Linked DNA regions of Alligator mississippiensis. The protein of the gene in region 4 interacts with the protein of the main gene of each other region in a biochemical or structural test. Links are inferred from orthologs where the notes say so. Each region holds a gene or a part of one and is shown on either strand. Other genes may lie near its edges.

Region 1 (7,136 bases), on a different chromosome or scaffold from region 4:
CATGCAATTAGCCCATACAGCAGTGACCACAGGCACCTGGGCTTCTTGCAGACATTAAAAAAGAAAAAAAAAATGTGCTTTACTGGAAGAGGAAGCACATTACTTCAAACTGGATCTGCAGCATCTGCATAGATCAGGCATTTCAGCAGGGTTTTTTGGCACTTTTAGCTAAAGCTTTTAATTAGCTATTAAATTAAAGCCCCACTAAAGCACCCGATCTCTACAGTTGTCAGGCAAGCTGGGTCTAACTGATGTGCTGCCTCTTGTGGGCATGTGCTGGGCTCAGCATGAGAACATGGCATGTTTAAAGTACCTTTTTTTTTTTAACATCTGCAAGCAGCTCTGGTGGTCATTTGAAAGAGCAATTTGGGAAGTCCTAGGCAGCCTCTCTCATAAAAGTATATGATATTAAGACATGACGGACAACTGAAGGGTGACTGCCCAGAAAGTAAGGGCCGCATCCAGGGGCTTCACGGCCACCTCTGGAAGTTCACCCTGCCACTTCAACATCAGTGAATCTCAGACTGCTGTCAGGTTGTTTTAAGGGTGATGCAGGATGCCATGCAATATTAGCACTGTTAGGCATGCACATGATTCCCAAGATAGACCCAGTAGGCATTTATACACATGCTCTGGGAGGCGGGGGGTGGGGGTGCTTTAATTACAGCTGCTCTAATTAAAGCATCAGGAGCAACATGTGTATCAGCATCCCTACGCTGAAAAATGGCAGCAGGGACACTTTGACTAAAGCTTATCAAATGAGCTTTAGTTAAAGCACCCCCAACTGTCATTTATCAACACAGGGATGCTGATACACGTGACACTGGATTCTGCTGGAGCATGGTAGTTACCCCATTCCAGCACAGGTACTATGGATTATGATGTGCTGTAATTAGTGTGTCAGAGCAGCCTCAATGTACGTGGATAGGTGCCCAGTGATTTCAAACAGGAATCCATAGTACCTACTGAAAACACTCTGACCCGTTGTGGTCTTTCTGAGCCCCTTGTAACAAAAGACTTGCTCCATTGTTTTCCCATTGTAAAAAAAAAAAAGAGCAGAAGCTAAGAGCTATCACTTTCACAGGGGTCCCAAGGGCTAACAAGGGGTGCCTTAGGTCTAAAAAAGGTTGATAATCATTGGTTTAGATATGCTAGAGTACAATCTAATCATGTAATAAAGTGTATTATAAAAAATAAAACCTTAAAAGTGAGATCAAACCAGTGGTAGAAAGTTTAACAATTGCCAAAGTTGAGGAAATAGAGACAAGCAGGATGTGAAATCCCTCCAACTTTTTCAATATGTTGTTCTGGTACATTAAAAAGATTTATACATTTACATTCACTACGAATGACCTTAGTGAAACTAACTTGCCTACAATTAAGTGCTCATATTTGCAGGAGTGTAAGCCTACATTTTTACATAATAAGACTGCAGTCTAAAGGAGGGCTTTTGGACATTGCCATCCGACAAGTGTTTACTCCTTATATAGTCTAAAATTCTGTTATTAAGCCTCCCCAGTCCTTCAAAAAGGGGACTCAAGACTTGGTATTTCAGAATGAAGGAAACCCACAGATGGCTGAAACCTTTCTTTCTTTTCATGTTGCTTTGTTGGATCTAATCTAATACCTGCTTAAGCCAAAAGGACATCTTCTAAACAGTTGAAGCACATTGTGTGAGGCTTTACAGAATGGTAATTTATGATCAAAATATAATAATGTATTTTTTAATTAATGTTGCCAATTATCTTTTTAGAGTTAAATGTAAAAATGAAAACTAATTATGGAAAACACTTTTTTCCCCCCAAAAGCTGAATTTGTTTGATTTGACTGTAAATATTAAATCACATACATTGTGTTCTTAGTACTATATGATAATAGGTTAGTGCTAGGAGAAGCTTTGCTTTTAATTACTGTTGGCTATAAGATTATTTGGGACCTCTAGAAAGGGAAAATGTTACTTATCAGGTATTTTCTAGAACAGAACGTTTTTGTTTATATTTAAAGTAGACTTGCTTATGCTTAATTGTCAATATTTGCTGTATATAGTGAATTCCAGAGACCTGTGAGAGAAGTCTCTAGCATTTCTTTTTCTTTTCCCCAGGAAAACAAATATAAATTAAAAAAGAGAAAAAAAGAATACTGTTATATACACCTTGAACTGTACCCACAAGCAAACAAAAAGCCAGTCCAGAGATTTGAGCACAGATGTTGTGTACTTGTAATAGCTCGTTCCACTTGCAAACTGAGCAGCTGCATTCTGCACTAGCAGAAGCTTTGATTTTTATTTATTACATTTGATGGGAGCAATCAATTAACACAATTATTGCAAAAAAGCTTCATTACAAACACAGGGCCCAATTCTGGACTCTCTACTGATGGCAGCCATCCCAGGATCTTCAGTGGAAGTGCTTCTCTAGGGACTATTAATGAAAGTAAAGATTACTGGATCCACCCCTGGGTCATCTTCATCCTAAAAGCTATCAGCTGGAGAATTACATCCTTTTCAATGTACTATTCACTAGTATTGTGAGAGTTATTTTTGGAAGTTATTATTAAAAAGTGTGTTTTTCATTATCTTCATGGTTATTTAGTGATGTTCAACTGTTTCTTTCCCTCACCTTTTCCTAGGGGTTTGCTAAAAATACATTGGGTTAGCTACGTTAACTAAAAATACACACTTAGTACCATTACATTATTCACCTGAGGCTCTGAAGCATGATCTACTGTACATCTCCTGTCCCCTGTCTCTCTGGTCACCACTGGCCCTGCCCAGGCCTTGGGAGTCACCTGGGTGCCAGAGACAGATTTTTGCCATATGATTTGACATTTGTCATAATCGCGCCAAACAGCAACTTGAGAAGAAAACATTTTTGCGCCATGCTTTTGCACAGTACGATCGAGTGCATGCCCTGTGGATACCCTGGCCCTCTGATGCAATGTGAATGGCCGACAAAAAACAACATCGTGCCACAACGGCGCCGACCTGACGCATTACGAAGCTCAGGAGCAAACCCTCTGGAGGGGACATCTCCTCCTTCACATGGGCTTTTCCCAAGGCCTGGAGGCTCTATCAGTGACCGCTGACCTCCACAGAAAGACCTGCCAATCCCACACAACCCTGTGGCAAGTACAGTCCCCAACACTCTCTCAATACGTCTTTCACAGGCACATGAAACTAAACCAGCAGTGCTCAAACACCTTGGCCTACGGGCCACATCTGACCCTTTGGAAGCCCCAGTGAATGATGCCATCTCTCTCCCACTGCCCAACCTCTGGCCCCGTGGGGAGCACGGTGGCAGGAGGCAGAACCTGCCGGGCGCACCACACAGTCAGGCAGGCAGGCAACGTACCACGCTGTTCTTCATCATGGCCTTGACGGTGAAGCCGTCGCTGACCTGTGGCTTGGCTTTCTTGGCAGGCCGCAGTGGCAGCTGCTGTTGTGGGGGGAGGTGCCATGCTGGCTTCAGGGCACAGGCGCCCTGCTGCTCCACCACCATCTTGCCCCGCACCTTCCTAAAAGAAATAAAAGGAAAGTAGGGATGAGAAAGGAACCAGGGGCAAGGGTTACATTTATTGCATTTGGAATAAATCTAAGAAAATTTACATTAAATGAACAAAACAGGGATCAGAAACATGTCAGCCAGATGCAAAAAGAAGTCAGCCCTCCCCCCCCCCATGGGATGTCCCTCCCACCCCACCCCAGAATGGGATGCTTCCCCCCGCCCCACAATTGGATGCTTTCCACCCTCTCCCTGCCACCCCCACAATGGGATGTCCCTCCCCTACGCCCCACAATGGGATGCTCCCCCCGCCTCACCCCGCGGGGGCTCGCGGCAGGGGCGGCTGCGCGCGGGGTGGACGCTATAACCGAGTCAGTCGCCAGCGCGCGCGCGCTTCTAGGGACGCGTTCCGGTTGCTAGGCAACGCGTCAACAACCTGTCGGCTGGCCGCGCCCGGTCACGTGCGGCAGCCGAGGGAAAGGGGGAGGAGTAGAGGTGTCAATTTGCGTCGATCACGTGATCCCACGTGAGAACTACGCTCCCCAGCGTAGGTTGCGCCCCTCCCTTTCCCAACCGCCCGCTGAAGCAGCTACGGCACCAGCAGCGACTTCGCTGCGCAGGCGTAGTGTGACTCAGCGGCCGGCAGGGCGCAGGGCGAGGCTTTGCGCAGCGCGGCTCCTCCCCCCCCACCCCTCACTGCGCCGGGGCTATGATCGGTGAGTGAGTGAGACCCGGATGTAGCGCCCCCTTTTTTTTCCTCCCGCCCCGTCCCCAGCGGCCACCATGACGCAGCGCGCGGCGGAGCTTGTGACGTACCCCCCCCTCCGTCATGCACAGAACACGCCCCTCCACTGGCCCTCAGTGTGCCCCTCCCCCCGCAGGCCTTTGGGGCCACGTGGGCCCCTGTTTGTGCTTACCCCTGGCCCTGAGTCACGAGGGTGTCAGTCCTCGCACCCTGGCTCCCTGAAGCAGGTGGCCTGTGCCATGGTCCTTGGCCACGAGAGAGGAAGGGGTTGGCTGGGCAAGGGGAAGTGTGAGATGCCCCAGCCTTTACTTACAGCCCAAGCCAGAGGCAAAGGCCTCAGGGTTCCCAACCCTCCAGGATTTCCTTGGAGTCTCCAGGAATTAGATACAAATCTTCAGGAGACTGCTATGAGCACCCCCCACCCTGGAGATCAGTGATAGGGGTCTCATTCAAATAAATAGGAAATGTTGAGTCTGATTTATGCAGTAGTCCAGAAGGTCTTTCATATGTAGCAGTATCGTGCATTGGCCTTCCTGGCCTGAAGTCTACACACTGTAAACCGTAACTGATGCATGCAGGCATGTTTGTGCTGTGTGTCGTTATGTCATGGGATGAAACCTCTCAGAAGAGATTCAAACAGAGTTGGCAACCTTAGACGGTCCCGATATCTTTCTCTTGACCCTGGGGCCAAGTTGTGAAGGCCCAAACTTCTCCCTCATCCTTTTTTTTTTTTTTTTTAATTATTTCCGGGTTAACCTCTTCCAACCACAGTGCTGGCATGGTCTCTTCTAGTTAACTGCCTCCAGCTTTGCTGCAGTGCATCATTATAAATACTGGTGGCAGCCATTGGGGCCATCTTATCTTCCCTTGCTCTGGTGTTACCCAGGGTTCAAATTACATCAAATTTGATTCTTCCAGGGGTTTGCAAAAGCAATTGGGCTACCCACAGTGCCATATTAACGCATAGGCAAACCAGGCACATGCCTAGGGCCTTAAGTGAAGAAGGGGACCAGTTGTGCTTATTTACATATTATAATTACTGACTGAAAAAAAGTAGGGGCCCATGAATTTGTTTGCCTAGGGCCCACTAAAGGGTTAATCCAGCCCTGGCTGCTCATCACTATGCTCTAATAAAATTGGAGACTCCCCCCAGGTTATGATTTTCAAATCTTACAGGGGAGCTCTCATCTCTTATGCAGGGGACTCAGCCCTACTGAGCTCCCCAGTAATTCAAACCTTGGTGTTACCCTTCCTGGCAGCAGAACTAAAGCGGGGCAGTTGTGTGATCTGGGTAAGGTGCTGTGCTGGTCATCCTTGAGGACCCTGTTCTACATTCAAATTAAAACTGGATAGAAACCAGTTATATTGTGGTTTCCTGTTCTCAAATGCTAACTTTGTAGCTGGTTGTCTCTCTTTAAAGCAGGGTAGTTATTTTTATTGTGTGATTGTTACTTGCCGCATGTAGCTGGTCTAAATTTATTGCAGGATTAACTTGTTAATTGTATTACTTTGCATGTGTGGCCTGTCTAAATTTATGTTGGGTAATTGTGTAATATCTGTAAGTTATAGTGGGCGCCTGAGTTAGCAATGTGCAGCCTTCTGATAGCACGACCATTCAGTTGTTTCACTGGCTATAATTTCGTTTGGAAAGAAGAGACAATTTATCTTCAGTATTTCCCTTCCATCATTGTAGGGCTCCACCAAACACAAAAGCCACCTCTTCCCTTACTACGTCTCTTTCCCCCCTGCGTCTCTCTTTTAATTTCATTTTTGTAATTTGTTAATTATTCACAGACAAGACCAAAGGAGCAGAAAGTGGGATGCTAAATGAATTTAATACTAAATAAAATAAATTATTTTCCTCCACCCACAGATTTTAAATGCTTTTCTCTGCCCTTCATATTGGGTGTTTGTCCACTTTCTGAGAACTGATCAGTTTTGTGATTGTTGGACACATTGCCCAGGCAGCAACAGTAATAATCCAAGAATTCGGTAATGGAATTGACTCAAAGGATTTTGGACACTATAAACTTCATGGCTTTTACCCTTAGAAATGTTCATTCCTTTTTAACAGTAATGTTCTGGTAAAAACATGTACTGTAGTGGTATTCTTTAAAACTAAATTCTTCCCAACCCTGTCAAAAAAGCACAAGTTTGATCATGTGGTTTTCCATCTCTGAATATTCATGGAAATAAGTCTCTTCATAGCTCTATACAGTCCATACCTGGCCTTTTGTCTGCACGTAGTTTTCTGATACAGTAGAGAATATGCAAAAGTCTTGATTTCAGGGAAAATATTGTAGTATCCACATGTACTTATATCTTGATAAAATATATGAAGGGCAGGTTTCTTGTTTACAGGAATACATTTTATTTATTTTTCTCTAATTCCTGTAAAAAAAATTAGTATGTTACAATTTAAAAAGGTGTAAGTATCTCACATTTCTGAAGAAAGGCTCAGGAGTTAGTTGCTTGAGGTTGTGTTAGGGTTAATCTACCAAGTTCTTTATTGTTACTTAGTTATTTTGCATTCATAGGATATGACTTTAAAAGAATGAAAAATATAAATTGATCAGAAAAAATCTCAAAACAATTGTTATATCCCAACTGTATATTGGTTTGTAAGGCTGTGCGAAACGGCACCGTTCCATTTTGGCTTGAGTTTCAAGGTTTCAACAGAACAGCATTTTGTTTTGAATTTCATTTCAATTTGAAACCGCTGTTCTGTTCTGTTTTGTTTTGTCAAAACAGTGTCACTGTTTCGACGCTGTTTCGCCATTTTGCCCATACAATATAATGGGGAAGCTTAAAACAGCCTCTCTCATCCAGCAGGCAGATGGGGGCCCGCAACCGTGGGAGGGCTGCAGGGACTGTGCCGGTCCTACCGGGGC
Region 2 (7,680 bases), on a different chromosome or scaffold from region 4:
TGCAATTTTTGGGATGTATCTTGGGATGGAAGATGCTGTGTAGGTGCCAAAGTATTAATGATCAAGATGGCTGGGAGTTTAAGCATTTTACTGTTGCTTAGTGTCCAAAATGACTTATTAAGCATCTAGTTTAAGTAAATTCCTGGAACCGCATTTTTATATTTTTCTTTGGTGGGGGGGTGTGTGTGTGTGTGAAGTCAAGGCTTGAAGACTAAAGCTTTTCCATATTGAATGGACATGGCTAGTTCTTGCTCACTTATTCCTTGGAGAGCATAAAAGTCGTTCTTCTTCTGTAGATAGTAAAATATTGAACAATGGTGGATATTCACTAATTGCTAGCATAAGCTTGCTGTACTTATGCTTATGTCTGGTGGTAGAAACATAGCTAGTCTTTTGTTCTGGAATTTGTTGAGTGTGATTGTTGTGTGACCACTAAAATCTTGGAGTGGGAATGGCAATTAAGCTTTTACTGTAGTTAATATATCTGAGTGTTCAGCAGCTTAAAAAATACACCTGTTTAAGTAAAGTCTCTGTCCAGACTCTTGTTTCCAGCGAACTTTAGACGCATCTTGCTGTGCTTCCATAAAAATGTTCAGTTTTATTACTGGATATATCAACTAAAGTTGGCTATAATCAACAGATCTGCACTTACTACTAAAAGACATGAGCCCCTGCAGTCTTTTGTGTCCTCTGTTGACAGCTCTTGGCTGACGGAAGAAAGGAAATTCTGTATTATACTGAGGTAAGAACAAAATCTCACTTGGAGTTTAAAGCAATATGAGCAGTGTAGATAATATGGCTACATCTATATTTTGGAAGCCATATGTAACATAATAGGACAGGGGCGGGCAATTATTTCGGGCGCAGGGCCACTTACTGAGTTTTGGCAAGCCATCAAGGGCTGCGTGACAGGCAGCCGGGGTAGATGAATATTAATTTTCTAAATTGTTAGGGGCCCTGTGGGCCAGATAGAATGGCCTGGCAGGCCACACCCCTGTAATAGGATGTCACCAATGATGCCTGCCTTAACATATTGGCTAACATGGTATATTTTGCCCTTATGTCATTTTTGCCCTACAGTAGCATGCTGAAAAATTGACAACAGCCTTAAAATATTTTCCATTTGTAGACTTCACACTTCAGGACTATTGTGAGTGGAGCGCATATTCTGGGGCTTGTAACTCTCAGAGATTTAACTGTCTAGCAGTTGTTTTTGTGAAACTGTAGTATGAGAACATGTTTGTAGTGCTGTGCGAATGCCACCACTCTACATCCCATTCTGACAAGGCAGGAAGGAGCTATGCTGTCTTTGTAGTACTTCTGGTGTTTTGTAACTGGCATCTAGTATTATAGGGTTTGGAGAGAGAAGCCATGTATCCCATGGAGGAAAGGAAGGACCTCAAGGAAATGAAAAGTACCAGAGAATGGAGCAAGGACAGGGGAATGAACGCTATCTAAGTAGAAAGTTTATTCTATTCCTTTAAGTGGTCATTCTTTGCTGCTTCTTCCCTTGCAGTTATTAAATATAGTGACAAATTGCTCATTTTGAGACATCTGGAGATTAGAGTGGGGCCTTGGACGTTTTGGCTTTTATGCATCAGTGTAGCTTCCCCACTGAGCTTCACTTGCAGAAGCCCCTAATGTAGACTTGCTGCCTCTATATTAGACCTATGGTGTCTACCCTGTTTTGAGAGTGAGGTATGCCACACTAGTGCAGAATTAATACCAGGTGTTTGCAGTAGTGAAGTATAGTGTGGTGGTAGGTACACCAATATAAAAATTTGTAGCAGGCAGCCCTATGTTTAACTGAATGCTCAGATTCACCACTGGTTCCTTCTTCCGGTAATGACATCTTCCTAGGCCAACATGAAACTGTGCAGATGAAAAGGTAAGAAGATGGATTAATGAAAGGAAGAGGACTGAGGAAGGAAAACCCAGTCCAAAATGCAAGCTGGGGAAAAAATAAGGTTGAAAATATTGCCTAAGAGTAATCTTTGACTGTTTTCCGTAGTGTTTATATATTTTAATACACTCGAGTCCACTTTCTTGGCCTATTAAATGATTGTCTCACCTCACTTCTGTTGATGGGACACTGTTCTTGGTCAGGCTTCTGAAACGGAAAAGGCCAGTGTTTTCCATTGGATAATCAAAGCGTGCTCTTAGTCAGAATGAAAATGATGAAGCATTAATAGTTAACGCAGCGTCTTTCTTGAAAGAATGTGTACTTGTCATGGGATTATAGTATCACATGCGTCTTTCAGCATATTGTTTGTTCCTTTTGTTTTATAATTGGGTTTTAGAGATAAGAAACTTTCTTTTCTACCGACCTTTCCTTTGCTGTGTGATAGATCCACATAAATGGAGGAAACTAGCTCTAGAGTTGGAGTTCATTATTCAGTAACAGCTGTCAAATGCATAATGAAAAACTAAAAAAGTATTTTTCTCAACTTTGTACTTAAATGTTAATTTTAACTATAGCAGCCTACATATTTAGGTGTCTCCGAGTTGACAACCTCTTTAACCAAGATTTGTTTAGTACAAAATCTTTTCTAGCACTGTCAAGAGTTCTACACAAACTTAAAAAAGCTACTGTAATAGACAAAGCATAGGTTAACCCCTGTTCTGTATTACTTGTGTGAATTTTGAAGCTCACACTCATCCTTATGAGCTGATCCCAATATATGAGGGTATTAACAGTTACTTAAAATGTACAGAATAGCACACATTTCTCACTTTTCAATGCGTTTGATGGTACGAGTTTTTGGACTGCATCTATGTTTCTCAACAGAGTGACATCAAATCAACTTTCACTTCACACATATAGGAGCCTTCTGTTGGCTACTTTTGCCTGTCAGAGGTGAAAGTATTAGCAAATGCAATTGGTATTTGTGGGTGTCTTCCATTTTGGAAAATAAATACAATACTAAATAATACAAATATGAAAAAAATCTATGCTTTGTATTATGTTAGTGGCAGCAAAGGAACTTGCATGTTAGTTAATAGGATGACTAAAATAAAAACAGGGTTATAGAATCATCATTTTAAAAGCCAAAGTAGAGAATATATATAGTGTGACTGACTTTGTAGTTCTTGAGCCTCATACAGTGGTAGAATGCTGGATTTTATAGTGTTTCTTTCTGTGCTTAAAGCTCTAAAGGTGATGTTACTTTGTGAGTTGCAGTGCACTGGCAGCCACTGAAATTACACAGGCAGAGTGGTCTTGGAGGTGACGCAACACTTCTTATTTGCAGAAGTGCCGGCATAAACTGGGCAGTGTCTGACTTGCCAGCTGTGCTGAGAAACCAAAAAAAGTGTCAGTTCTGTGCACTAGACAGCTGCTAAAGCATCTTATTTGGAAGTTCTCCAGCAAAAGGCAGAAAGTGAAATGCTTTTTTCTTCCAATATTTTCACATAGCTTTAGCTGTTATTTAATAAGAGGGAATATTCATGGTGGCAGTGGAGCATTTTACCACATGGAAAGCTAGCTAGATAACCAGCTCTGTGAGTAATTGCAGATTCTAGCACTTTATGCGGTGGATGGTGAGGCGCATGTATTAAGGAAAACCAGTTATTGTCGAGGTTTCATTTGAATGCATTTGCAAGGGTTTAAGGTTACCATTGTTTCCTGATTTTGTTCGTCCTTTGCTTTTAATACTGATCAGATGAAGACATTACTCTAATGTTGAAAGATGTGATGAAGGTACTTGTCTTACTGAAATAGTAAGAGGGAGACAGGAAGACATTTACTTGATTATTGCTGGCAATATGTCTGGCATACAAGTTTCTTTTTGTCCTCTGAATTCTTGTCATCAAAATTTACTGGTTGCAGACTGGCTTCTAGTGCATCTAAGTTATACTCTCGATACTGGATGCTGGAATTAATTTCTAACCTTTTCCTCTCTTGAGAAAACTAAGGTCTTGCTATCACAGACAAAATGTTTTCTGGAACTCTCAGTGTATTGTGCTTTTATTCAGCTTCTTGGCCCATATTTCTGCCAAATATATCTGGCTGTTGGGGGATCGATGTTACTCTTACTTGGCTGGAAGGCCTGACATGAGGCACTTCCTTCCCTTAAGAATAACTCTGGGAGAATAAAACCTGTAAAACTTGTCTTCTAGTGTAATGTAAAGTTGGATTCAGTGACAACTTGCATCCTTTACAGATTGTCTGAATACATCCTTTAGACTTCTCTAAATTGTGGTTTGTGATTTGCCAAGGAATAGCAGCTCTGAGGATGTATGTGCTAGAACAGGGGTGGGCAAAATGTGGCTTGCGGGCTGGATGCAGCCCACCAGGCCATTCTATCTGGCCCGCAGGGCCCCTAAAAAAAAATTTAGAAAATATTTATCTACCCCTGGCTGTCTGTCACGCGGCCCTCAATGGCTTGCCAAAACTCAGTAAGCGGCCCTCTTCCTGAAATAATTGCCTGCCCCTGTGCTAGAAAAATAGATTTAGACTAGGGGTAAGCAATGTTTTTTGGCCAGAGTGCCAAAAAATCCACCATGTCTACCTTGGAAGGTGGCGGAGTGCCGGCATGTCAGAAAAACAAAATGGGGAGGGTGGTATATGGCAGGACTCGCTGCATAGTAGTATATTTAATAATCATAAATGTTGCCTTTATTGTTGTGTATTCCTTTTTTGTTGAGCATGTTGCAATGAGAGAGAAAAAAAGAGACAAGAGGAAGAGGAGAGAGAGAGAGAGAAAGAAAAAGAAGAGCAGAGAGAGAACCAGACACATGCACACAGAAAACCATGTGCACAAACACAGAGCCAGAACACACCCAGAATGGACACATGCATATATGCATCCAGAACTAGACACGTGTGTGCGCGCACAGATGCAGGACCAGACCAAGGCAGACATACGCACAGAACCAGATACGTGGGCACACGGAGCTGGGCTCCTCTGTCACTGGACAAAGTCAGCTCAGAGGCACACGTACGCCTGCTGGTATGGAGCTAATGCCGGAGCCCAGAGCAGATGTTTGCAGCCTTCCGGCTGCAGCCAGCCAGGGTTCTTGGTAGCTGCTGTCAACCACGGCAGAGCTTGTAGCCACCCAGCTGCCTCCTGGGAGCAGCCTGGGCTTTGTGGCTGGCAGCAGCTGCCTAGAGCCCAGGCCGGTGGTGGCGTGCTGAGCAAAATGGCCTTATGTGCCATGCTTGGCACACGTGCCAGGGGTTGCTGACCCCTGGTTTAGACCTTTCGTGCCTGAGCAACATTGAATATATAAAAGGATGGACCTGAGGTTATGGCCTATAGTTTTCATGCAGCTTTTCATTGTCGAGATGTGCAGTTCTGCTGAAAGTTCTATGTGGTACTGCACTTCTTGATGTTCTTCTCTGGAGAAGAGACGACTGAGTGGGGATTTGGTAATAGTCTTCATATACCTGAAGGGCAATTATAGAGAGGATGGAGATAGGTTTGTCTCTATTGCTGTAAGAGACGGGTCTAGGAGAAATAGCTTTAGGCTGCAGCAGAAGAAATTGTGGTTGGAGATTACGAGAAACTTCCAGACTATACGATTAGTTAAGTATTGGAGCAAGCTATCTAGAAGTTGTGGAATCTCCATCGATAGAAATTTTTAGGAGCAAGTTAGACACTTGCCTGGGATAGTTTAGTCACGGAGGGTCTTGCTGGGAGCATGAGGCTAGATTACATGACCTTCTGAGATCCCTTTTAGTTCAACAGTCTTACGTTATTGCGTCCAAAAAAGAGAGACTGATTTTTCAAAACAATTTAAATGCTAATCCCTGTGGTCATACAGGATATCCTCATAACTGGGACTTCTAGAAAAATAAAATTCCATGTTTTATGTTTAAGATGCTCAGTTTAAGTGAATGTCCAGATCAGGAACAAGTAAATCATTCCTCTAAAAGTATCATTAAGTTTTATAGGTTACCATAACTTACATGTACCCATGGTTTAAAAATATTGTTTTTCTTTTTTCAGATTCTCTTCCACTCTTTCATCAACATGGAAAGCTCAGATTCTAATGATAAAGGAAATATTGATCAATCAGAAGCTCAGCGTCGTAGTCAGCTGGATCGATTAGATCGGGAAGAAGCTTTCTATCAGTTTGTCAATAACCTGAGTGACGAGGAGTACAGGCTTATGAGGGATAACAATTTGCTAGGAACTCCAGGTATATCAGAATACATATTTGTATATTAAAGTTTTAATGTTACCAGACTAATTTTAATGACCTGTTTTTTTTTCTTGCTGCTGTGCCATTAAATTCCCCCCCCCGGTATTCTTCCAACTACAATTGTATGCCAGCGTAAGAGAGTAGCTCTCTACTTATCTGAACGTACAGTATGTCTTTTCTAGAAAGGCAATACATATAATTTAGCGCTAACTAGGATGAAATTGAGTTAACAGAAGCAGAGTTTATTTGCTTTGTTTATGTTTACTCAGCTTAAAAAAGGACATCCAAAGTTTGTCTGAGGCCTGTTCTGGTATTGGCCTTGTGTATGGGAGAAGGTTGCACCAGCTTAATGAAGAGTACAGATTTTAATGGCAAACTAGCTAAACTGGTGATGGCCTTTGTGAGGAGTGTATTTCAGTTTAGCTTATTCTTGTTAGAAATCATCTTGGAGAAACAAAAATAAGCCACTTGAAAAGATTAAATAAGTTTGTCCATCCAGGAGCTTGCACTGGTTTACCTGAATTGCTATTAAAACTTGCAAGATGGCTTTTTTAATGCATTCCTAATAGAGGTAAGCTAAATTTGAAATGAGCCAGTCCAAGAAAAATATGCCAACACATGTTGGTAATAAATCAGTTAAAAGTAATACCTCTTATAGTTGTCTCATATAGGCAGAATCTTAATTGGTTTGGAATGGAGAAGACTGATGAGATTTTTCTTAGAGATTACAGGAAAAAGCTTTTCTCAATTTTGTTCTAAATAGTTGGTAACTGTATTTTGGATGCTGCAGTTGTAGCTGGTCTTACCTGTGAGCAAGGATGCTTTGGGGGGTTCCACAAGCTGCCCTCTGGCTAAATTTCTAGAAGTCAGTGAAGAATATTTATAAGCAGTTAGCTTTTTGTTAAAAGAATATTCACAATCTCTCTGAACTGCAGTCTTAAGACTGTTTAAGATGTACATAATTCCTTCCTTATAGAGATTATTTGGACATACATATATATTGGGAAATCTTTCTTTGTTTCTTAAGGTGAAATTACTGAAGAAGAGTTGCTGAGAAGGCTACACCAAATTAAAGAAGGTCCACCACAGCAAAACAGTGATGAGAATAGAGGTATATACAGTATTTGTGAAAACTCTTAACTTTAGCACCTAATACGGACCTTAACTTGAGTGCAGGAGTGGAACAAGTTAAGCCTAGGCAGGTGCAAGGTGAGCTTTGTTTAAAAATTAAGTGAACGTTCTATTTGACACAACCTGCAAAGATCAGTTTTGGACAGATTTCAAGTATGGCATCTATTACTAGCGCCACAATAAGATTTCTTCTACGTTTCTTTAGTTGACTTTTTTTTTTGTTCAAATTTCTTTGCATTCTGTTCCCTTCTGAGATATACCCATAAGTCCCTTGTTTTCCCACCTTCACTCCTTTTGCTTTTGTTATCCCTCTACAAAGGAGAAATACACACAGTTCCCATTAGAGCAGTGCTTCCCAAACTTCTCCTCAGCATGACTGCATTTTCTCAGCATGACCCTATT
Region 3 (7,965 bases), on a different chromosome or scaffold from region 4:
TTAAAGTGATACTTAATGCACATTAGCCTATTTTAATGTGCATTAAGTAAAAAGCATGGGTTTTTTTTACATGACACTTTACTGCACATTAAAGCATATGTGTAGACGCACCATGGAGTTCATAAGCAGCTCTAGATGTAAAATCCAGCTCTGCTCTGTAACTGTGGGCTGAGTCTCCTGTGGAGTTACAATATTCAGGTCTAGTGCCAGGCAGGGAATGCAAATCTGGAAAGATTTTCTTGCCCCACTGGTATTTATGGCTCTGATTAAAAACAGCATCCGTGTTCCACAAATCACTTCCTAAGCATGTGACTGAAGCATTGAAACCAATGGGCTCAAGTGATTGCCTCTGTGCAGTCTTGTAAGAACTGTTCAGTGCAGATCTGGAATCCCACTACAATTTTTCAGTTGGAAAGCGAGACAGCTATGAGGTTCAGATCTACATCGGGGTCTGATATTCACACCTGAAGTTATATTTTATCTCCCCCAATACCTTACTGCAAAGAACCTGCAGCCCAGATCCAGACCCAAAGCTGAAGTTGGTTCCTTATTCCTAGTTCCTTATTTATTGTTCCCAGTTCCTGGTTCCTTTTTCAAAGCTAATCTAGACCCAATACAAACTTTTAATTAATGAATTCCACATCCTAAAAACAAGAGAATGTAATTGTCTATACATATGTACTAATTAATATGTAAAATAACATTCCACATCAAGTACAGAGCCCAAATGAAGGTCAGATTAGGATGGGATTATGGGGCAAAATACTTCTTAGGACACCCCAAATTTCATGGCGATGCCACCGGGGGACTGTTCCAAAGACCCCTGACCACAGTCCTACCTGGCCCAAAGCACGGTTTGGCTATACCAGGCTGCCAACTAACAGCCCCCATGCCCACTGTACTAAGTATAATGGCTTGAATAAGGAACTGGTTTTCAGGCTGGGATTATGGCTAGAAATTCTTCTTGGGCCACCCATCAGAATACCTCTGTGCCACCGGGGGGCTGTCCTGGACATCTGTGACCAGAGACTTGCCCGGCCTAAAGTGTGGTTTGGCTGTGCCAAGATGCCAATGGACAGCACACCAGCCACTCTGCTAAGTGTATGGACTTGAATAAGGAAGTGGATTTTGGGCTGGGATTATACCCAAAAATCCTTTTTGGGCCACCCTAGACCCCACCTCTGTGGTACCGGGAGACTCTCCTGGACATCTCTGGCCACAGACTTGCCTGGGCCAAAGGGCGGTTTGACCATGCCAGGCTGACAACAGACAGCACCCCAGCCGCTGTGCTAAATACATGGAACTGAATAAGGAACTGGATTTTGGATTGGGATTACACCAAGAAATCCTTCTTGGACCACCCCAGAACATACCTCTGTTTCACCAGGGGATGCTTTTGGACATCTCTGACCACAGATTTTCCCGGCCCAAAACACAGTTTGGCCGTGCCAGGCTGCCAACAGACAGGACCCAGGCAACAGTGATAAATATGTGGAACCGAATAAGGAATTGGATTATGGACTGAGATTATACTCAGAAATCCTTCTTGGGCCACCCCAGACCACTCTCCTGTGGCACCAGGGGACTCTCCTGGACATCTCTGACCAGAGACTTGCCCGGCCCAAGGCGTGGCTTGGCCGTGCCAAACTGCCAGCTGAAACCACCTCCCAGACACAGTCCTAAATATGTACACCCAAATAAGGAACTGGATTTTGGGCTAGGATTATAGCTAGAAAATCTTCTTGGGCCACCCATCAGAATACCTCTGCACAACCGGGGGACTCAACCAGGTGTATCTCACTAGAGACTTGTCTGGCCCATGTGCGGGCCGGGAACAATCCGAGGCCCTTTTTGTGCACCGCGGGCTGTGGCCAGCAGCCTGGACACGCCGGGTCAGGGAAGGCAGGCGGCACGCTTGAATTAGGCACGGACGCTTAATGGTTGTTTAAGATTGTTTACTTATACCGAAGATGGTCGCGGTGTAGGCTGGAACTTTTCCAGGAATACTTCGCTTAAATCCTAGTTTAAGGACTTGGAAAGAACTCTGATTCACTCACAGGAAGTTTTCGAGGCTCCGTGGAACTTTGCGCGCAGGGAAGGGTACGTCGAGGGATCATTCGGCAACAGGGAGCAGAATCGATAGGTGATCAGTCTATCGATCAGTTTAGCCGCAAGTCAAATCTCCTTAGAGGCACTTTGCAGCATGCTCGAAGTTCTCCGACTTGGGCGGAAACCACTCAAGCCTCTTATACGGCTAGTAAGCCAATCGCTAGCCGCCACGTGGGAATAATTTAGAACTGACCAATAGTGGGGCACAAATTTAAATACAAATGGCGGGAACTCCTTGCAACGTGCATTTCTGTGCTGCAACGAAGAAATGCACCCTGCAAAGAAAGCTACAAATGGCGGGAAAATAATTTAGCAGTGCCGAAGCACACACAAACAAAAATCACACCCTTGGGTTGTGACAGCCCAAAATGCGGTTTGGCTGTGCCAGGCTGCCAAATGACAGTACCCGGGCACTGGGCTAGATATATGGATCCGAATAAGGAACAGGCTTTTGGGCTAGGATTACAGCTAGAAATCCTTCTTGGGCCACCCCATGGCATACCTCTGTGACCCCAGAGGACTCTCATGGACATCTCTGACCAGAGACTTGCCCGGCCCAAAAGGCAGTTTGGCTGTGCCCGGCTGCTATCTGACAGTCCCCCAGCCACTGCACTAAGTATAATGGCTCGAATAAGGAACTGTTTTTTGGGCTGGGATTAGAGATGGAAATCCTTGTTGGGCCACCCCACTCTATGACTCTGTGGCACTGGGCGATTCTCCCAGGCATCCCCCACCAGAGTACTGTCCGGCCTAAAGCGCAGTTTGGCTCTGCCACGCTGTCAACTCAGAGCAGCCCCCCCCACTCCCCTCCGTGACTGTACTAAGGACAATGGCTTGAATAGGGAACTCTTTTTGGGCTGGGATTAGAAATGGAAATCCTTCTTGGCCACACCACACTATGACTCTGTGACACCAGTGGACTCCCCTGGACATCTCTAACCAGAGTCTTGCCCAGCCTAGAGCGTGGTTTCATCATGCCATGCTGCTAACTGCAGCCCCCGTATCCATTAACATAATAAAAGGCTTTGTCTGGCTGTCTGTGTGTCCATCTGAATGTCTGTCTGTCTTGGGCCAGGCAAGACTCTGGTTAGAGGTGTCCAGGAGAGTGGCCTGATGCCAAAGAGTCATGACATGGGGTGGCCCAAGAAGCATTTCCATTTCTAATCCCAGCCCACCAACCAATTCCTAATTCAAGACCGTATACTTAGCACAGTGGCTGGGGTGCTGTCTGTTGGTTTCCTGGCACGGCCAAACCATGCTTTGAGCTGGGCAAGTCTCTGCTCAGAGATATCCAGGACAGTTCATCAGTGGCACAGAGATGTGTTATGGGGTGGCCAGAGATGGATTTCCATCTAAAATCCCAGCTCAAAATCCAGTTCCTTATTCGGATCCATATACTTTGGGCTGTGCTGGGCTGCTTACAGTAGGCAGGCTGGCACAGCCAAATCCTGCTTTGGGCCGGGCAAGTCTGTGGTCAAAGATGTCCAGGAGACTCCCCTGGTGCCACAAAGGCACAGCATGGGGTGGTCCAAGAAGGATTTCTTGGTATAATCCGAGCCCAAAATCCAGGTCCTTATTTGGGTCCAGATACTTAGCAGAGTGGCTGGGGTGCTGTCATTTGGCAGCCTGGCATGGACAAACCACACCTTGGGCCAGGCAAGTGGTTGGTCACAGATGTTCAGGAGCATCTCTCGGTGCACCGAGATGTGGTCTGGGGTGGCCCAAGAAGGATTTCTAGCTATAATCCCAACCCAAACTTCAAATCCCGATACTTAGCACAGTGTCTATGGGGGTGGTGTCAGTTGGCAGCCTGGCAGGGCCATACTGTGCTTTGGGATGAGCAAGTCTGCGATCAAAGATGTCCAGGATAGTCCCCTGATGCCACAGAGGCACAGCGTGGGGTGGCCTAAGAAGGATTTCTGGGTATAAACCCAGCCCAAATTCCAGTTCCTTATTCGGTTCCATGTACTTAGCACAGCGGCTGGGGTGCTGGCTGTTGTCAGCTTGGCATGGCCAAACCATGCTTTGGGCTGCGCAAGTCCCTGATCAGAGATGTCCAGGACAGTCCCCCAGAACCATGGAGTCATGTACTGGGGTGGACCAAGAAGGATTTCTGAGTATAATCCTGGTCCAAAAACCAGTTCCTTATTCGGGTCCGTACATTTAGCACAGTGGCTGGGGTGCTGTCTGTTGGCAGCTTGGCACGGCTAAACCACACTTTTGGTCAGTCAAGTCTCTGGTCACAGATGTCCAGGACAGTCCCCCGGTGGCACAGAGGTATTCTGATGGGTGGCCTAAGCAGAATTTCTAGCCATAATACCAGCCTGAAAGCCAGTTCCTTATTTAAACCATTATACTTAGTACAGTGGGCATGGGGGCTATTAGTTGGCAGCCTGGCACAGCCAAACCGTGCTTTGGGCCAGGTGGGACTGTGGTCAGGGGTCTTTGGGACAGTCCCCTGGTGGCATCGCCATGAAATTTGGGGTGTCCCAAGAAGTATTTTGCCCCATAATCCCATCCTAATCTAACCTTCATTTGGGCTCTGTACTTGATGTGGAATATTATTTTACATATTAATTAGTACATATGCACAGACAATGACATTCTCTCTTTTATAGGAATAAGGACTAGGGAACCAGGAATAAGGAACGGAATAAGGAACCAACATCAGCCTCATGATCTTCATATGGAGACCTCGCTACCTCTTTTTTTTTTCCATCTGAGTTTCTTTCCCCCAGCTGTAGCACTGGCAAGTGATTCATTACTGGTTTAAGTGATTAGGTGGAGCAGAAATGACTTCAGGGCACCAGCTGGTTCCTGGAATGGGAACACCCACTTTTTGCTCAGTGCCAGGCATTCATTCCCTGTGTACAGTTCAAGTGAAATCAGTTTCTGCTCTCAGGGAAGGAGCCATGGCAGCCGTGTTTCTCCCTGGGAACCTCCAAGACGAAGCCACTTGCTCGGTCTGCTTGGAGTTTTTCAAAGATCCGGTGTCCATTGAATGTGGCCACAATTTCTGCCGAGCCTGCATCGCAAAGAGCTGGAAGGAGCTGGAAATGGACTTCCCCTGCCCTCAATGCCGAGAGGTATTTCAGCACAAGAGCTTCAGGCCCAACAGACAGCTGGCTAACATGTCCGAGATTATCAGCCAGTTCACCACACGCGGCGTGAAGGGGAGCGAGGAAGACGGGTTTTGTGAGAAGCACAGGGAAGCGCTGAAACTCTACTGCAAAGATGATCAGAAGACAATCTGTGTGGTATGCGACAGGTCCCGGGAGCACAGGCCTCATACAGTAGTGCCCATAGATGAGGCTGCAGAGGAGTACAAGGTATCTGTCTGTATGTCTTTGTGTCTTTCTATGCGTTCATACTCCATTTATCACCAAATTATGCAACAATCACCTAGCCCAATGGTTTTCAGGCATATCTTATTGGCATGTAACAAGCAATGACCAGTGTGGGACAACAGATCCCAAAGTACTCGTTGCTTCCTTTTCCCAGCTGTCAAGTTACAGTAAAAGACATTTGAAATCTTCAGATATCCTTTCCTAATGTTACTATTGATATAAGCAATTGTTTTAGTTGCCACGTGGATGTTACATGGTCATAAGCAGAAAGGGATGGTGGGAGCCTGAGGGATCATGGATAGGAATGGGAAAGTTCAAGGGGACAACTTCTCTGTGAATGTATGACCCACACAATGAGACACTTTGAGAACTCTGCTTTAAATAGTCTCCCGTATATATATTCACTTGAAGCAAAGTAATTTCAAAAGCTTGGCACTGCAAAAACTTTCTGAGCTCCTGAGTTAGTTTTATTAGGAAATGAAAGGTGAAATAAGTGAAAATATCCTGATTTATATTTAGCATGGGAGAATTTCTTTGGCACCTTCACCAGAAACCATAATAAAAATCCTTTTTACTATTATTTCTAGGGGCAAGTTCAGAGCCGTTTGGATAACCTGAAGAAAGAGAGACAAGAATTGCTGGAGTTCAAATCAAATGATGATAAGAAAACCCAAGACCTATTGGTGGGTGCCTGCTCTTTGCCACAAGATAACACTCAGGTGTTAGGGTGTAAATGGGAAATAGCATCACAATTTTCAAGGGAAACAAAGTGAAGCCTAACTGCTATTGGGTTTATGTTGCACTGAGGAAAAAATTGTTCTGGTTAACTGCAATCAGGGCTCAGAGTAGAGGTGATATTTTTATTAGATCAACAAGATTTTTGCAAAAAAAAAATAAATCCTTTAATTGCACGCTTTTGGGCACAAAAACCCTTCATCGGGCATCGGAGAAAAGATTCGAATTAACTGGAAACACAATTCTCATCTGAGATATTGCAGAGATGAGTATTTTAAGAAATATTAGTATGAATCCTGGCTAAAAATTTAAAAAACCACTGCAACTTCTGATCCAAACCACCTTAATGGAGGGTTGCCTTCCAGAGAATGCCTGCTCAGAAGTTTCTGAAATTCAGGTCCCTTGACCGTGTTTCAAATTGGGCACTGAAAGAGGGACACATCCAAAATCAATTTTGAAAGGTTAGAAGACGGGCAACAACAACAATAAGTGACAGGGATTAAGTCATGCTGTTCTATTTTAATGAAAGAGCTCTGCAAGTATGTAACAAGCCAGGAAAAGTGCTATTTGCTGAAGTCAGCTTCTCCCAGGCTGCTGGCTATCACCTCCAGCTGGGTCACCAGCTGTTGTCTCTATGGAGTGAGAGGGGAGAGCTGTTGGCACCTCAGGTTTAATCCCACCAGGTGCTGAGCAAACAGAAAAGATGTTTAGCACCCACAAATACCGTAGGAGATGGGGGCACTCAGCACTTTGCAGGATCAAGCCCTGGATTCCCATTCTCCTGTCCTTAGTCATGCACTGCTGAGTCTCATATGTCGATATCCTCCTGAGACATTCAGCCATGTAAACTGCTTTGTGGGCTAGTGCTGCACCTTCTAAATGTCACCTGCACCTAAATGACCCCCCCACCCCGGTCTCCGGAACTGGTTGCAGGGGGGGCACATGCCCCACCCTCCTCCCCAACTAAGGGGGCACCAGTCGTCCATGGTCACTTAATAGCTAAAGAAGAGGGGAATGTGTGTGTGGGGTGGTCACACAGCAGTGAAACCCAAATGCATGCTTGATTCATGTTCAAGGACCAAGACAGTAAGAAACAAAAATGCCCAGATTTACCTCTGAAATGCAGACAGCATAAATCTAAGCCAGAGGAAGGATGAGCCCTGGGTCTGTTTTTGGACGGTAAATGTCAGCAGAGCAACAGATCCCATTCCTTACCCTCTGCTCTCAGGTCATGTCTTTCTCGTGTCACTCCTGTCAGGCAAAAGTGTGCTCCTATCCCCTTTCCTTGCTGATAATACCCCTAGACAGTCATCCTCCCTTTCAGCAGGATTCACAGGCTTATGGCTACTCAAACGCTGCCTTCATTTTCACTCTAGATAAGTAGCAGGCAGAGTAGATTTGCACCTTCTAGACTAACCAAAGTGTGTGTGTGTGTGTGTGTGTGTGTGTGTGTGTGTGTGTTTGTGAAGGTTCCTTGGGTGAATTTGATATCTTTTATCAGACCAACCCAAATAGTTGGAGAATAGTTATTAAGCAAGCTTTCAGGTTCAAAAACCCTTCGTCAGGCTAAGGAAGTTTCAGCAGTTTGTGTGTGCTCTTCCTGGATGGAGTGAAAAGTAAAAAGCCAGGGGCTGGGCTGGGGAGTCGGTTGCCAGGCAGAGTGTGTGTGTGTGTGTGTGTGTGTCTCACATGCTTTTGTATGCTATAGTTCACTTAATCAGATACTGTAAGGCAGAAGGCACGGGTGCACACTTTAGAGAATAACTGGTTCAGA
Region 4 (7,712 bases):
AAGCTAGAAGAAGAAAGCAATCTAATGTTGGACTTGCCAACTTCAGCAAACCTTTTGCTGTCTCTCTCCCTCTGAATTTTTTTCACATTTCAAATAAAAAATAAGTAATTAAGGTAAGTGATGAGAATACTGTTAGACTAGGTTATGTTCTTCCCACTTTGAAATACCAACTTCTAAGTTTTCACATTAGTGCAAAGAACTGTTTACAGACCACTCAACCACGTAAGAAAGCTTTTAAAAAATGTTTTGACCGTACAAGTTATAGGCTTCCTCTACATGGAGGAGCTCTTAAGAAAAAAAATGATACAACACATAAGAAATGTAAGCAGAGAAAAAATACAGCAAATATAATAGAACAGATGCTTTAGATCAGTGGTGTGGCTTCCTTTGGAATACTGCATGCAGTATTTATCATACCACCCCAAAAAAAGGATACTATAAAACCAGAGGGATTCAGAGAAAGACAACAATAATCAATAAGGGTCTATAAAAAACCTCACATAAAGAGACCGAGAAGACTGACTGTTCACCTTACAAAGGAGACAAAAAAAGGAGACAAGTACACAATAATGATAGAGAGCAAGTACATCAGGAACATTTGCTCTCCCTGTTTGACAGCTTAAGAAGGAACAGTCAAAGAAAAAAAAGCAGCAAACAGATCATAAAAGGAAACCTTTTAATATAATGCATATGTAGACTGTAGAATTCACTACTATAGAAATTGACTCCAAGAGTTTAGCAATATTCCAAAGACTGACTGCTTGCTTATACAGATAATACAGTCCAGAGTTAATATATTTAGTGACAGTTTGAGGAGGGATAAAATAATCTGATTTTAGATTCATGCTTCTAACTACTAGAGATCAGGATGATGCTTTTATGGGAAGAAAGGGAGTCAAGCAAATTATTCCAAATCCTGTATTGTCTTTTGATGCATCTGGTCCTGGCCACCACTGGGGACAGAATGCAATCAAGCTGTTTCTTAGTTGGACCATAGAACTGATCCCACATGAATACTTCTATTGCCTGCTGGCTATCTGGAATTAAAGGTCTCCTATCAACTGTTAAGAACACCCCTAAATAAATAAAATAGCCTAGAACAGCTCTAGAACAACTTTAAATATATTTAGTAATTTGTATTTATTCTATTATTTCCACCCAAGGACCTCCACACATTATGTGGAATTTGAGTATTATAAATGGAACTTCCGAATCCCACGAGGTAGATGAGTGATCTTCGTTTGACAGACAGCTTGTCTCTACCTTAGTTTTCCTGAGTAATCTGTGGCAGAGCTGGTATTAACTCTCCCAGCTCCTAAATCTGTACTTTAAGCTCAGTTCAGTGGCTGGCATAATTCAGGTTAATACCTTCATTCATTTCCAGTTAACCAGTTGTGACATCCTCATCAAATAATTGTGTAAACATAATTCTAAACAAGAAACCAAGCACTAATCCACATGAAGAGAGCAGGATAGAATGCTAGATGGGAATACAAGGATGCCATTAAATTAGTAACAGCAGCAAGACAGCATAACTTTATAACCTTAGACTATCTGTGAAACATGTACCCATCACTCACATTTCTCATGAATGGTAAAAAACAGCTCTATGGCCACAAAAGATGGACACTTATAGGGCAAGCATTCCAGGAAGAACAGAGTCTGCACAAGTTCTTTCATTTTAAAAGGATGTCACTTACAAGTGCTGCTTGTAGGTTTGAGTTTTGGGACCTGCCTATAGGTTGTGTCCAGGATTGGACCAAAAGGAATCTCATGAAGTTCTATAAGGACAAGTGCAAAATCCTGCACGTAGGATGAAACAATCCCATGCACCAGTACAGGCTGGGGACTGACTGGCTAAACAGCAGCTCTGCAGAAAGAGACCTGGGGTTGACAGTGGACAATAAACTGAATATGAGCCAACAGTATGCCCTTGTTGTGAAGAAGGCTAACAGCATATGGGGCTGCATTAGCAGGAGCACTGATAGCAGATTGAGGGAACTGATGTTTCCCTCTTTTCAGCACTGGTGAGGCGACATCTGGAGTACTGTGTCCAGTTTTGGGCCCCCACTACAGAAAGGACATGAACATATTGGAAGGAGTTCAGTGGATGGCAAGTGAAATGGTGAGGGGGCTGGGGACATGACTTCTGAAAGGGGCTGAGGGAACTGTACTTATTTAGTCTGGAGAAGAGAAAACTGAGAGGGGATTTAATAGCAGCCTTCAACTCCCTGCAGGGGGTTGCAAAGAGGATGGAGCTGGACTGCTCTCAGTGGTGGCAGGTGACAGAACAAGGAGCAACGGTCTCAAGTTGCAGGAAGGGAGATTTAGGTTGGATATAAGGAAAAACTCTCTCACTAGGAGGGTGGTGAAGCACAGGAACAAACTACCCTTGCTGTGGGATCTCCATCCTTGGAGGTCTTTGAGACCTGGGTGGACAAAGCCTTGGCTGGGCTGAGACAGCTGGGGATGGTGCTGCCTTGAGCAGGGGTCGGACTACAGGCGACCTCCCGACGCCTCTCGGCCGGGCAGCGGTGCGGGCAGACGGGGAGCTGCGCCGTCTCGGAGCTGCCGCGGCCTCCGCTTCCCGCCCCAGCGGCCCTGGCAGCGCTGCCGGGAGGGGCCGGCCGGCCCCGTCGCCTCCTGCCTCCCGCCTCCCGCCGCCGGGCGCAGCGGCCTCCTACCCGCGGCGCTGACAGCTCGGCGCGCTCTGCCCCCGCCCCCGGCCTGCCCGGCCGCCCCTCGCGCCGCCGGCCCAGGCGCTCCGCCGCCGCCCCCATGGCCGCCACCGCGGCGGGCAGGTCGGGCCGGGCCGGAGCTGCCGGCACCCGCCTCGGCCCGGCCCGGCCGAGCGGGCGAGGAGCAGGGAGCGGGCCCGCCGGCCGCACTCACTTTCTGTATCCGCTTCAGCGCCATGGGGGGCGGCGGCCGGGGCGCGGCGGGCTGCAGGCGCGGCGGGTCCGGGGCCGGGCCGGGGTCCGCTCTGCTCCGGCTCCTTGTCTCTTTGTTTCCGCTTTGAGTCGCAGCCCGAGCCCCGCCCGCGGCAGCCTGGGGGATGTAGTCCCGGCGGCGTGGCAACGGCGCCCCCTGCCGCCCGCCCGACGCCACCGCCCCGCGCGCCCGGGCCCGAGCCCGGCCCCGCGGACCAGCCGCCCGGATGTCACTGCCGAGGGGGCTGCGTGGAGACCGCGTGCGGCCCGCACTGGAGGCGGCGGCCGCCTTGGAAGAGCAAGGAAAGCAGACAAACACCCCTCGCCCCAGGGAGCTAGCAGGTGGAGCACGTCCCCGACCGCCAGCCACCTTTTCCCGAAACCGGGTGCCGAGGAGCGTGTTTGACGCCACAGAGAAGCTGCCAGTGCCACCTTCGGAGGCCTCCCAAATCTTGCCTTCCCTGGTGTGACATCAGGGCCCAAACTTCTTGTCCCCCAGGCTGTTGCCCTCTCTGTAATGTTTCTGACTCTTAATTTACTGATACCTATGATACAGTTACTAATCTTGACTCCATTTCAACGTCATTTTGTCCAGGAATTATATTGATTTCCTTCTTATAAACGTCCTTCATTTTGTGCTTGTTTATCATTGACAGAAAATGTCCTTTAGTTAGTAGGTTTAGTAAAAACCTCTTCCTAGACTCTGAAGAGTCTGCACTTGAATCAACGGACGGTAGGTAGACCTTTGGTTCTGCGGCACTACACCTGCTCAATCAATCTAAGGTACAAAACAAGTAGTAAAGGAACAGAAAGACAACAATAATCAATCAGGGTCTATAAAACCCTCACATAAAGAGACTGAGAAGACTGACTGTTCACCTTACAAAGGAGACAAGTACACGATAATGATAGAGGGCAGGTACATCAGAACACTTGCTCTCCCTGTTTTACAGCTTAAGAACAGTCAAAGAAAAAAAGTAGCAAACATCATAAAAAGAAACCTTTTAGTAATAATGTGTATGTAGACTGTAGAATTCACTAAAGTACCATGGAAATTGACTCCAAGAGTTTAGCAGTTTCTGAACGTATTGGAAACTCCAGATAGCCTGGGAGTGTGACCGTCAGCAAGGTCTTCGGAAAAGACAACTGGAAGGACAGAAGAACGAATGCCAATGTTCTAGCTCAAGCAAACCCCACCAGCATTGAAGCTGTGTTTATATGGCACCAGATCCGTCGGCCAGGGCATGTCATAAGAACTCCTGACAACTGGCTCCTAAAACAGGTCCTATACTCCCAACTCGCCAATGGTCACCGCTCTAGAGGTGGGCAAAAGGAGAGATTCAAGGACACCTTGAAAGCCAAGCTGAAGAAATGCCATATTAACATCAGTACCTGGGAAACTTGAGCACTGACCTGTTCCCAATGATGCCATGAAGTGAAAAGCATCAACCATTTCAAGCAAATTCACCTCTCTATAGAAGCAGATAGGAGAGAGGGACAAAATGAACAAGCCACGACCCAAGGTTACCAGGATTTGCTGCTCCTCCTCCTGGAACTGTATGCCATGTCTGCAGTCATGCAGTTCTCGGATTGGCCTCTTCAGTCATTTCTGGACTCACCAATAACTTCCCTATCTTCTGGGCAACTGTTGTCTTCATATCAGGGTCTGCTAACAACAAATACCATCCATATAAGTGTTCCCAAGGGGGAGTGAAATAGACTGGTTAAACAGCACTTAATTGGTTGCACTCCAAATTTATTTTACTTAATAATCCTACTCATTCTCACAGGAAAATATCAAGTAGGACAGATCTTAAATTCTAATGTGAACAAACGAAAAATAATGCTTTATAATATTTAGCTTTATATGCATCATAAAGAGGAAAATACAGGATCACTTGTTTTTCCTTTGAAGGGCACATTCAAACATTGGCCAGACTAAAACAGCTTTAGAATGCTTTTGAAACAGTTCAGTTTAGCACAGTTCAAAGTACATATCACTCTAAGAAGTTGTTAGATTATCTTTGTAACTATGCTAGAGGAAGTGTGCAGTACCAGTGGCCTCATCTATCACAAGGTCAAAGAAACATCGAGCTGTTTTGGGTCATGTGGAGTAAACCTGCTCTGCATGGTTTACCGACTAAGGCAAAGGCAATACTTGTTTGCTTTATTCCTTGTTGTTTTTATCTCAGATTGATCAGGTGTAGTGCCAGAAAGTCAAAGATCTACGTTCTGTTGATTAAAGTTCAGACTCTTCAGAGTCTAATAAGAGAGGTTCTTACTAAACTTACTAACTAAAGGACATTTTCTGGCAATGATAAACAAGCACAGAAAGAAGGAAATTTATAAGAAAGAAGTTAATAGAATTCCTCTACAAAAATGATGTTGAAATGGAGAAAAATTAGTAACTGTATCATAGGTATTGGTAAATTAAGAGTCAGAAACATTACAGGGAAGCTTGTAATTATTCCAAAACCAAACATCACAAGACTAGGAAATTTAGAGTTAAAGTTACATTGAAAATAAATCCAACAATCTGAACTGCCCTTTAGTTATACAATGGGTGCATCTACATGTGCAAATGCTCCAAGGTGGGTTTACTCTACAGCAGGCATTCCCAAAGTTTTTATGCTGCGACCTGGCAAACTGCGGCTGAAAGACAGGTAAGGATATCCCCCATCTTCCGGGCAGGGGATCTGAGCCAAACCCTGCGCTGCCGTTGGCCCTGCAAAAGGAGCCGTGGTCTCTCTGCCCAGCTCTGGGGGCCACAGTTTGCTGGTCTGCAGCCACTTCCAGTCCAGCAGCCGACCATGCTGCAGACTGGCAGCTGACCCGCTGTGGCCCAGCAGCGGGCTGTGGCCCAGAGATTGAGAACCCCTCCTCCAGAGTAATTTACTATTAGAGTAAACCCAACTCAGACAGATAATCATGGAGTGGGGGCTGGGAGATGATTTTTATCTCCCAGCCCCCTCCCTGTTCTGTGCTCCACAATTGCAAAGTGGGGGCTGGGAGCTCCCTGCTGCAGAGGCATGGGGACATTGTCCCTGCCCTGGTTCCAGTAGTGGAGCCTGTCTTGGCAGCAGGCAGCTCCTGGGGGCAGGGAGCAATCTCTCAGCCCCTGCCAGGAGACAGGTGTCTCCTGGTCAGTCATCTACACATTTGCTCCCAGTCAGCCATCTACACATGATGTACTGCACAGTAATTACTCCTGAGTAAATTTGGTACTTGTATTTACAGATGGCAAATTTGCCTGCAATTAGAACAAATTACTGTGCAGGAAGCATCTGTATGTGTAGACAGTGATGCTTACTGCACAATAGTTTGCTCTAGTCTTGAGTAAACTGTCTTGTGGCGACGTGCCTAATATGATTAAGACATTTCAGTGTTTGTGAACGTAGATTAGATTACACTGATAATGGAGATGATGATTATCTTGCCCTACCCAAAAAGGCTGAAGACATTAGACATTTATCATTTTCCCCATCTTATGTCATCACTGTAGTGCAGAGGTAAGATTATTTGAGTATCTTAACTGTGCATTTCTTACCATAATTTAGCTGGATTTTCTTTTATGTGTTAGTTTATTTGTGACTGATTTGATTTTGTAGTGCTTGACTTTCCTATAATTACCAACATCTCTAGAGGTTTTCATTCTTAAATTACTAATATATAGCCTTAATTTTCACTCCATCTTAATAGTTTTTAGCCTTAAAATTTCCAGACTTGTTTAAATATCATTCATTTAGTTCTTCAATATTAAACAGAACTCTCAGAGACATTGTTACCATGCAGTCTTTCTCCAGTGTATACAAGCCCTTAAGAACTGCTCCTATGTTTCTGACTCAGCTTCTCCAATAATACTGCCTCAGAGCACAGTGGAGCTGAGGCAGTGTTACTAGCCCAGCAGACTGTTGGCATCAGGAAAGTCCCTGAAATAGTATCTGGCTTTCAGAGACTAGAATACCCAAATTGTACTGAGGCCATTAGTGCCACACACATGCCTATAGTTGCTCCTTCAATATCTTAAGTTAAAGAAGTTGCTGTTGGTCCTACAGAATGTCATGATCCATAGAAGTGTGGGAAATACCGGCAAGATGCAGGGCACCTAGGTTTTGAGACATATATAAATTAGGACCTTGCTTCTTCCAAATACATGACCATGGGGCACAAATGCTCACCATGACTTTGAGGGACTGTGCCTATTCTCTCCTGCTGTAGCTCATGAAGCTCATCTATACCCAGACAAGGAACTGTAGAAAAAATGCAGTTATATTTTTTGGCAGCTGCAGAATGCTGTTCAAACATACATTCAGAAAGGGGAAGCCAAATGGCATTGCCTCTAAAGCTGGTGAGGATTAGAACACTGTATGTATGTTTGTGGCCTGCTGCACCCTGCACAAGATGCACGATACTAGAGCCGTATATTTTCATCTGGAATAGTCTCTGCACACTAATGGACTTCTGAGTTAATTCACACAACTAAAAGCATCCTTGTAAGCAACATGGGCTTAGGATCCAGGGAGGCAAGGGAGTATTAGGGATTGTCTTTATATCTATGTCACATGTAGCAATGTTCAGCTTGTGCAAAGATTGCTTAAGAGGGCACAGGATAGCAGTGTTCAAGTATTTGAAGGGATGCCATAAGGAAGAGAGAAAACACCTTTTATTTTCCATTGCAGAGAGCAGGGTGTAGACCAATGGCTTGCAGTAAAGTTGATTTAGACTGGATATCTGGAAAAAACTTATTTACTGTTGGAACGATGAAGCAGTGAAATAGATTGC

What was found.
Region 1: the proteins of UBE2D1 (region 4) and PRKN form a complex in vitro, tested with the Homo sapiens proteins (3 studies listed by BioGRID). The link is inferred for Alligator mississippiensis from reciprocal best matches to the Homo sapiens genes UBE2D1 and PRKN.
Region 2: the proteins of UBE2D1 (region 4) and RLIM form a complex in vitro, tested with the Homo sapiens proteins (5 studies listed by BioGRID). The link is inferred for Alligator mississippiensis from reciprocal best matches to the Homo sapiens genes UBE2D1 and RLIM.
Region 3: the proteins of UBE2D1 (region 4) and E3 ubiquitin-protein ligase TRIM7 form a complex in vitro, tested with the Homo sapiens proteins (3 studies listed by BioGRID). The link is inferred for Alligator mississippiensis from reciprocal best matches to the Homo sapiens genes UBE2D1 and TRIM7.

Annotation. Positions count from the first base shown.
Region 1 is NC_081824.1:140,162,291-140,169,426, reverse strand, and holds the start of PRKN (E3 ubiquitin-protein ligase parkin), read left to right. Parts: upstream 1-4,135; 5' UTR 4,136-4,209; coding exon 4,210-4,216; intron 4,217-7,136. Other genes in the region: PACRG (parkin coregulated gene protein), read right to left, coding at 2,701-2,787, 3,351-3,497. UniProt on the Homo sapiens protein: Functions within a multiprotein E3 ubiquitin ligase complex, catalyzing the covalent attachment of ubiquitin moieties onto substrate proteins. Substrates include SYT11 and VDAC1.
Region 2 is NC_081831.1:65,171,905-65,179,584, reverse strand, and holds the start of RLIM (E3 ubiquitin-protein ligase RLIM), read left to right. Parts: upstream 1-4,662; 5' UTR 4,663-4,787; coding exon 4,788-4,952; intron 4,953-5,951; coding exon 5,952-6,144; intron 6,145-7,174; coding exon 7,175-7,258; intron 7,259-7,680. UniProt on the Homo sapiens protein: E3 ubiquitin-protein ligase.
Region 3 is NC_081834.1:49,651,478-49,659,442, reverse strand, and holds the start of E3 ubiquitin-protein ligase TRIM7, read left to right. Parts: upstream 1-4,949; 5' UTR 4,950-5,021; coding exon 5,022-5,438; intron 5,439-6,043; coding exon 6,044-6,139; intron 6,140-7,965. UniProt on the Homo sapiens protein: E3 ubiquitin-protein ligase that have both tumor-promoting and tumor-suppressing activities and functions in several biological processes including innate immunity, regulation of ferroptosis as well as cell proliferation and migration.
Region 4 is NC_081829.1:60,194,388-60,202,099, forward strand, and holds the start of UBE2D1 (ubiquitin-conjugating enzyme E2 D1), read right to left. Parts: upstream 3,018-7,712; 5' UTR 2,917-3,017; coding exon 2,893-2,916; intron 1-2,892.